2 linked regions of the Schizosaccharomyces pombe genome follow. Changing the gene in region 1 together with any one later gene gives a genetic interaction. Each region holds a gene or a part of one and is shown in the gene's direction. Other genes may lie near its edges.

Region 1 (4,615 bases):
ATTTCTAAAATTGTAGGGATTTTAAGAGCACCAGGTTGGTCATTAAAAAATGTAGAATATGTTTCCAAAAAATCCTCGTACGCGATTTTCATTCCAAAAGATAAACGTCTGCCCTTTATCACAATTCACAAAAATGATTTAAGCGATTTAAGTGGTGAAAATTGGATTGAAAATATTTTGAAACACCACGATCAGTTGTTTTCAGTTGAGATTACAAGGTGGAGTATTTACTCTCGTTACCCTATGGGTGTATTAGGTGAAAAGCTGGGAAATATTACTGACGTGGAGGCTTACACTAATGCGCTTTTGCTAGAAAATGGAATTAGTAGCTCTCCCTTCTCTGATGAGGTTTTAAACTGCTTGCCTCCTGATGATTGGATTATCTCACATGAGGAAATAAAAAAACGAAGAGATTTAAGAAATGAGTTAATTATTACCATTGATCCTGAAACAGCTCGTGACTTGGATGATGCTGTTTCCTGTCGCGCTCTTGACAATGGCACTTATGAAGTGGGTGTCCACATCGCTGATGTTACTCATTTTGTAAAACCAGATTCAGCATTGGACAAAGAGGCAGCTTCGCGGGCTACAACAGTATACCTTGTGCAAAAGGCTATTCCGATGCTTCCTCCTCTGTTGTGTGAACGACTTTGTTCATTAAATCCCAACGTTGAGCGTCTTGCATTTAGCGTTTTTTGGAAACTCGACTCCAATGGTAAGGAAATTGGTAAGCGTTGGTTTGGCAAAACAGTTATAAAGACATGTGCCAGACTTGCCTACAGTGAGGCTCAAGGTGTGATCGAAGGAAAGTCCTGGGATGATGCTGTAGGCAAACCGATAGGAGGTACGCATACTCCAAAAGATGTTGAAACGTCTATATTAACACTTTGCGAAATTTCGAGAAAGCTTCGCAAAGATCGATTTGCTAAGGGCGCTGTAGAGATTAACTCGACAGAACTCAAATTCCAATTAGATGAATATGGAATGCCGAATAAATGCGAGGTATATGAGCAAACCGATGCAAATCATCTCATCGAAGAGTTTATGCTTCTCGCCAATAGATCTGTTGCTGAACATATCAGTAAAAATTTCTCCAATAATTCCTTGCTTCGTCGCCATGCAAGTCCTAAAGAGAAACAAATTAATGAGTTTTGTCACTTTCTAAAAAGCATGAACTTCGATTTCGATGCATCGTCTTCAGCTGCATTTAATGCCTCTATGGTACGACTCAGAAGCACTTTTAATGAAGAATTGGTAGAATTATTTGAAAATATGGCAGTTCGCTCGTTAAATCGTGCTGAATACTTTTGTACTGGCGATTTCGGTGAGAAAACAGACTGGCACCATTACGCTCTTTCATTTAATCATTATACCCATTTTACTTCTCCGATTAGAAGATACCCTGACATTATTGTTCATCGTTTATTGGAACGTAGCCTTAAGAACACATCCCCGGGTATTGACAAAAAAAATTGTTCGTTAGTGGCTGCACATTGTAATGAAAAGAAGGAGAAATCCACCACTGTGCAAGAAGATAGCCAGCAACTCTTTTTGTCTGTATATATTGCTGAGTATTGCAAAAAGCATGATAAGAAATCTATGCCAGTTCAAGCATTTGCGACTAGAATATCTGGAAATTCTATTGATGTCTATATCTCTGAATATGGAATATCCAACAGAGTAGACCTCAGTTCAGATGATAGAATTAAAAGTTTTATAGTTGCTCCCGATGACTCCTCTGTTAAAATTACGTTGTTTGATGATTCTCAAAAGACTATAGCTCTTACGGATCGTTTCCAAGTTTATTTATATTCTGATTACAGTCGTACATTTTTCAGTATTCGCTGTAGTCTAGTTTCTTTGAATTAAAGGCCTAGTGTTGTTTATGAATTTTTGACTGAAATATAACTTTGTTAATTTTGGGTCAGATTACCTTTTATTTATGATGCATGCCACCTATTGAATGGTTGTTCACGTTTATCCTACACATTTTAAAACGCTTATTATTATTACTATTATGTTTCATGGATTATGACAATTGAATGACTTTGTTATGCCCAGACGACTTATGTTTGATATATTTTTCTCATTCGTGAGAGAAACACAATTAAAATAAAAAATTTAACATCAATAAGAAATTTCTTTAGTTAACAAATTCACTTTGGCTGCAATTGTTGAATATTTTATTTATACCTATACATACAAGTAACAATAGACATTGTGACCTGAGTAAGGTACTCAGTTTTGTGCAGCAGCTTTTCCACTACTCATACCGAGGAGGATCTTGCCTCGATATGGATTTTTATAATCATGCTGCCAACATACTTTCAGATTTAAGTAAAAAAAAAGGATCAATTAAGCAATTAGCATTTAATTCAAAAAAACATGATCCAAAACGCACTTATGCTTTGGTTTGCGAAACTCTCAAATGTAAACAAGAATAGTAAAACTTTAATATAAACGATTTGACTAACTTTCTTCTTTTATATAGATAAACCTGTTTTGGATGAAATAATTGCGCGATCCGAGTTATTAGTTTTAGAGAAAAAGGTACAAATTAATGAAACGATAGTTGTTTCGTAATTTTTTGAAGCTAACCTGGTTATTGTAGTTAAAAGAAAATTTGGCTAGAGTCCTTGTCCATGATTTACTGATGTCAAAGCGAGGGTTATCCATTTCAAATGGTCCTATCAAGGAATGCATTCTTCGTCACAAGACACGCCTGAACGCCGAGTTTGTCAAACTCAAGGTGAAAAAAGGGGTTAAGAGCCATGAGGAGCTGGCATTGAAAAATCCTGTGTCGCTCCCTCGCTGGCTTCGAATAAATACCATTAAAAGCACAAAAGACGAGGTTTTGCAAGGTTTAGGCTTGGATAAAGTCAGTTCAATTGAGGAACTGGGCCCCGACAAATTTTATATTGATGATTGTGTTGAAAACTTAATAGCCATCGATCCATCATTTCCTATAGTTGAAAATTCATTGTACAAGGAGGGGAAAGTGATTATTCAGGACAAGGCATCTTGTTTTCCTGCTGCTGTATTGGCCGGGCTAACTGGTCACGTTGGTGATATAATAGATGGATGTGCTGCTCCAGGGAACAAAACTACTCATTTAGCTGCTTGTTTTCCAAAATCTCATATATTTGCATTTGAACGTGACGCGAAAAGAGTGCAGACACTTCGAAAAATGGTGGGAATATCAGGCGCTAATAATGTCACCATCGAACATCAAGATTTTACCCTAACTGATCCCAAGAGTGATCTTTACCGAAATGTCACTCATATCCTGCTTGATCCTTCTTGTTCTGGTTCTGGAATTGTGAGTCGTCAAGACTATCTGCTGGGTAATGAACAAGACGTTACGGAAGATACCGAAAGACTTGAAAATTTGTGTAGTTTTCAGTCTACCATTTTAAAGCATGCTTTACAATTTCCTAACTGCCGCCATGTCACATATTCTACATGTTCAGTGCACCGTTTAGAAAACGAACAAGTAGTATGTGAGGTTTTGTCGCAAGAACCTGACTGGAAATGTAACTCTTTGACAAAAACTCTACCCAACTGGAAAACTCGAGGAATTCCAGAGTATTGTGCTCAACCTTCAATGGCTGAAGGAATGATTCGGTGTAAACCAGGAGCCGGAGGTACTATTGGTTTTTTTGTAGCCAATTTGTATCACCCTCAAAGAGAGCAAGAAACTTTCAAAATGTATAAAAATGATGATGATACCAAAAAGCGTAAGCGCAAAAAGAAAAAGAAGGAAGTGAAGAAAAAGGCTCGCATACAAGGTGAAGAGTAAATTCATCAAAGCATTAAGACAAATTATCGCATAGCACTTATTCAACAAAGTGAGAGAAGCTATCGTTGTATGATCTCAATTTCTATAGACAATTTTTTGTGTTTTTGGAAAACACACATATTTAATTTTTTTTTCTTTACGGCTTTGGTTAAGGACTGGATACTAAAAAAAAATACACATCTTACGGGGACTAATCGGAAATGGATATTAAGTAGGCAAGATAAGTAATCATTAAATTTGAGCATTAACTAAATGAGCCTGAGGAAATGATGAAATTGTATTTAAAGGGATTACTAAGTCTTTTTCGCTAACCTAACAACTATATGGTAAGAGTAAGAACAACATTAGCATGTGAACAACTACGATTAGCCAAATCATTATCTTAACAATTTCAAAAACAGTAAGGCTTCTCAAACAATGTTGTATTGCTCAATCATGAAAAAAAGAAGAAACGACCGTTGTGTTTATACTTCCATGCACATCCTGCGAAGGTGAATCCCATCGCTATCGCACTGCCCAAGACCCGGTAGTGATGTGCATTGTTTCCAACCTCCATCGGTACTACACGGTTTAACTGCCAGTTGCCACGAAGACTACTCTTCGAACAGACGTGGCAGATCGAGGGATCGAAAGCGAGACTCGAACCCGAGACCACCGAACATGCACTATTGGGAGTACTAAACACTTCGACCAAGCCATTACAGCGAATACATATATGTATTAATAAATTATATAGAAAATAAATAAGTTAATTCGCATAAACAAAAGTTTCAACTTTTCATTGCAAACCCTTTAAAGCTTTTCATCGCGTGCACG
Region 2 (5,065 bases), 3.2 Mb from region 1:
TTTGTATGATAAAATTTGATTTTTAAAGGTTTGCTATACTTGAACAAGGAATAGTGAACTTTAACATACAGCCTATAATTCATTAATTAGGATGAGGAAGGAGATGTAGAAATGAAAAAATTTAGTTAACGTAAAACAGATTATACGATCATTTACAAATTATATCAACTGTACGCAATTTAATCAATGAAGTAGTGGGGATGTAGATGAGACAGTATAGAATACATCACAACGAGTAATGGGAGAAAAAAATTGTAGTAGTTGCGCGGGTTTTGCTCGGCCTCGGGCTTTACTTTCTAATCCGATGACTGTGAGTTACGTGTTTTGCAAAATTATTTAGCAAGTGTGCATTTTATGCTTTAAGTCTAAACGAAATGGGATCCGAGTTAACTTTAAGTTGAGGCTTTGCTTTTGATATAGGTATGCGCATGCGATTTACAAAAATCTAATCGAACAGAAGTAAGTATGTGTGTATGATAATAACATTTTGATAAATAAAGAAAACTGGCTAAACATATATTATGTAGAATTGAAAGAGCATAATTACAAGAAGAAAGACACTTGAAGATATGTTGTGATGTCATTAGATGTAGCGACTTTACAAACATGAAACTATGAGGAAAAAAAGAGTTACTGAGAGAGATTGATGATATTTTATATACACCATGACTCCAAAGATTGAAGGAAGTTAATAAATAAACATTGTGATTCATATTTTAATCAATTATGTAAAATGCGGCCAGTTGTAATGTAATGCGACTAATTTGATGCCAGTAATGTGTGTTAAATAATAGTCAAGGACAATCTGCAAGTTCCTTAGAAAGGTCCGGTTTCGAAGAGGCACACTTAATATCCGAGGGCGGCGCAGTTGAAATAACCAGCCCGGTTGAACGCTACATTCTCCTATACTTAACCTGCAAATGTTTCCGTCGTTAAGGATTTTAGATATATAGCTTAGCAACATTCATCCCAATGTGAACTTTAAAGCAGTCATAGTTGACCAGAAGATGAGCAACAAATTCAACGTAAAGGCTTGCGTCTCAGCGACTGCTCAAAATATAGATTTACACAACAACTTTACATATTAAGCGATATTTAAAGGACCGACAGTCTCGGTCTCTTTTCGCATAGAACGGAAGGGCATTTACATCATGGGGATGTAAATGGACCTTTTTTGATCTACAAAATGGGAATCTAAAAAATCTGTCAAAGATAGACATATGTGTCTCTGCTTACATATATATACATATATATATAGGCTGAATCACTTTCAACTTGCCTTTTCCCAATATTAAAATTATCGCACAAGTCGCTACTTTAGCTACTACTAACTTTTAGGGTAAGAAAGTGTAAGGGGGGATTTGCTTGGAGACTAGGCATGAGCTTGTATTTAATTGGAATAAAAGAAAAAGAATAGGAATTCATGAATTTGTTGAATGAAATTGCAAAACTGCAAGTCATTTGTATGAAACATAAAGCAGATGAATCCCAGGTTTTCGGTTACGATGCGACGTTTGCCGATGAACAGAAATGGTAAATGGTTTCGCATTTGATTCCGCAATACCGCAAACAGAAAATTTTATAAACCATGGAATTGTCAAGCGTTTCGCCAAATTCAAGAGCAAAATCCAGTGTTTATCTTAACATTGAGACGCTATGCTTTTTAATAAAAATCAATAACTTTGGATACTAACTTGTCATTTATTTAGACACAAATTACAATAATCAGATCCTCATATACCGGAGCAGAAATAACAGCACGGTAAGCAGATACAGTGATACAGTAAGAGCTGCGTTGGAATACGGGTGAATTTCAGCTATAAGGAGTTTTAAAATTTTTACGTAGTAGGGCGCTTTTGGTTTAATTTGTTTCACCATCCGTTTACAAATATTCCGTTGTTGTGTTGTTTTCGTTCACAAGAAAATTGTTTGAGGGTATAGTCAATTTTCTAAACTTTTGTGGGTCTAGAGAGACAGTCGTTGATTCCATCGTTTGTTTTGAGCGCGTTTTTGTAACGGCCTTCTAATCTCTGAGTTCAAGCAAAGCGGTGTGTAGATTTTGGCATAATTTCCCAAATTTATTGACCTAAAGACGGTTTAACTATAAAAAAAAAAGACAATGTTATTTAATTGTTTTGGAATACTCGCTCTGCTCCAGATCCTGCCGGCCTTGGCGTACCCGCCTTGTCGCGAGCAAATGTCGGATCCGTATGAGTTTGGGGAATCTGACTTAATGAGACCGGGCATGCATGACACGCCTCTTTCATTAATGCAAAAACGAGAGGCTTTGGCGATTTCGCTTTCCAAGCGCGACAGTGTTGGATCATACGCGCCTTATAATGTAACTTGTCCTAGTGACTATATGCTACGACCTGCTTCTGACGGAATAAGTTCAGGCGAGCAAAGTTTCATTGATAAACGTATCCCCAAAATCAATACACAAATGAGGTCCTTTATTTCCAACACTGGTTTGGACGTAGATGTAAACTCTGTGATTAATGATTCAGATGGCCCTCGTTTAGGACTTGCATTTTCTGGCGGTGGACTCCGCGCTATGGTCCACGGAGGAGGTGTTTTAAATGCTTTCGATTCTCGAAATGGCAATGGTTCTTCACTTGCTGGAATTCTTCAATCCGCCATGTATATCGCTGGTCTTTCTGGTGGTTCATGGCTGGTCGGTTCCGTAGCTGTTAATAACTTTGCCAATATTACTTATCTACGTGACAACGTTTGGAATTTGGAACATAGTGTCTTTGCTCCTCATGGTGACAATGTTGTCGAAAATCTTGCTTATTATGACGACCTGGATGATGAGATTGATCAAAAGAAAGATGCAGGATTCGATACTTCTTTGACCGATCTTTGGGGACGCGCTTTATCTCGTAAGCTTGTCGATGCTACCCAAGGTGGTCCAAATATCACATTTTCTAGCATTAGAAACCAAACTTGGTTCCAAAATGCCGACTATCCTTATCCCATCATTATATCTGACAGTCGTTTGGAAGAGGAAAAAGCTATCCCTGCCAACACCAGTATATTCGAATTTACTCCATACGAGTTTGGTACTTGGGACAATGGTATTAAAGCTTTTCTCCCTATGGAATACGTCGGTACCCATTTAAAGAATGGTGTTCCACCAGACCATAAGTGCATTCGTAACTATGATAATGCCGGTTTTGTTATGGGTACTTCAGCTACATTGTTCAACACGTTTCTGTTAGAATGGAGTCAGGAAGTAACGTCAAATAGTACTCTCTATGATATTATTCATAAAGTATTTGAAAAACTTTCTGAGGATCAAAATGACATCGCTCCTTACCCCAATCCTTATCAGAATTTCACGACTACAAACACCACCGTCAAAAACCCTTTTGAGCGATTCGATACTATTGATTTAGTAGATGGTGGTGAAGACGATGAGAACATTCCTATTTGGCCTTTGTTACATCCTCAAAGATTTGTTGACGTTATATTTGCTGTTGACGCAACTTATGATGATTCTAATGGTTGGCCTGATGGCTCTTCTATTGTTACTACATATGAAAGGATTATAACTTATAACGCCAATAAAAGTGTTGATGTTCGAGGTTTCCCGTATATCCCTGATGAGGACACAATCATTTCCTTGGGACTGAACACTCATCCAACATTCTTTGGATGTGACGGCAGAAACACTACTGCAGGTAATCATACCGTAGATAACAATACACCTCCTCTTCTTGTTTATTTCCCCAATTATCCTTGGGTTTACTATTCCAATATTTCCACGTTTACCATGTCTATGAATGACACTTTGTCCAGTGGCATTCTTGAAAATGCTGCTCTATCGGCTACTCAAAACAACAGCGATTCATTTGCAGTCTGTTTGGCATGCGCCATGATACAACGTTCCTTGGAGCGCAAAAATATGTCTACTCCTAGTCAATGCTCTTCTTGTTTTGAACAATACTGCTGGAATGGAACAACCGTGAACAACCCTAGTGCCGTTTCAAACTATGCTCCTACTGTGTTATCTGCATCAACCACTTCTGGTACCTCTTCTGTACGAGCCAAACCTATAGTATTTTATTTATTTGCTTCGCTTCTAACAGTTTCGTTACTATTATAGACGACGAAAGCCTCCCCCACTCACACACCTTGGTATGAGTCACTTTTCGACTTGAAAGAATTAAAAAGCATAGACTGAGTCAGGCTTTTATTTATTAATTGTAAGGTATTAATCACTACCAAACTTGTGGGGTTCAAAGGTTTTGTAGTTTTAGTGTTAGTGTTAGTGAATTCATTTTAAGTTTTCGAAGCACAATGTTTCTTTTCTCTAATGAAGATGTTTAGTTTAGTTAATTTAGGAAGATCGCTTTTATTTTTAAATATACAGACAATTAATTTTAATAATGATTGTGCAATTTTATAGATATCAAAGCTGTTTTGAATTATAAACCGTCAAAAAAGTCAGTTCCTAAAGGCTTTTTCCCTTGATTTCCCACCTTTTTCTTTTTCTTAGGACTCGAGAATTCAGAGTCGCTGCTGGAATCTTCATCACTATCTAAATTATCAGAGGAGGATGACTCATCTCCTTCCTTCTGATCAACCGGCCAGAAAGCTAGTTCGGTTCCACTACAGGAAACTAAAAAATTGCCTTCGGTAGTAACATCCACAGCGTCTACGGTTGATCGCGAAGAGTGTTGCCCTATAATTCTTTCGTATTTGTTTGGAAGAATGTGTAACAAACGTATACATCCGTCGCTTCCGCCAACATACAGACTGTCAGAATCAGCACGAGTTATTGTTTCTATTGAAAAATCATGGGACCGAATTGGCGATAAAATGCGATCGGTATGATCCCCCCAATCACCCTTTGTAAATAAAGTTATAACTCCACTGGCAGTACCAACAGCAAATTTCTTTTTTGAATGCTGATCCCGTGTAAAAGCTCCACAGGTCATTTCTTCGTCTTGTTCTTCACTCAATATTGGTTTTTTGAAATTACGAGCATCGATTACTGACAAAACTCCATCACCACTAGTAGCAACGAAGTATCGTTCTTCAAATGGGCTAATAGAAGATA

What was found.
Region 2: mutations in rcm1 (region 1) and plb3 together harm fitness less than expected from each alone (positive genetic interaction), as found in Schizosaccharomyces pombe (one large-scale study listed by BioGRID).

What each region holds. Positions count from the first base shown.
Region 1 is NC_003424.3:4,268,551-4,273,165, reverse strand, and holds rcm1 (rRNA methyltransferase), read left to right. Parts: upstream 1-2,262; 5' UTR 2,263-2,294; coding exon 2,295-2,430; exon of another isoform or gene 2,431-2,491; coding exon 2,492-2,550; exon of another isoform or gene 2,551-2,611; coding exon 2,612-3,799; 3' UTR 3,800-4,057; downstream 4,058-4,615. Other genes in the region: 3'-5'-exoribonuclease Dis32, read left to right, coding at 1-1,869. UniProt on the Schizosaccharomyces pombe protein: S-adenosyl-L-methionine-dependent methyltransferase that specifically methylates the C(5) position of a cytosine in 25S rRNA.
Region 2 is NC_003424.3:1,069,182-1,074,246, reverse strand, and holds plb3 (lysophospholipase Plb3), read left to right. Parts: upstream 1-1,884; 5' UTR 1,885-2,119; coding exon 2,120-4,108; 3' UTR 4,109-4,324; downstream 4,325-5,065. Other genes in the region: SPOM_SPAC1A6.11 (uncharacterized protein), read right to left, coding at 393-713; wdr55 (WD repeat-containing protein), read right to left, coding at 4,431-5,065.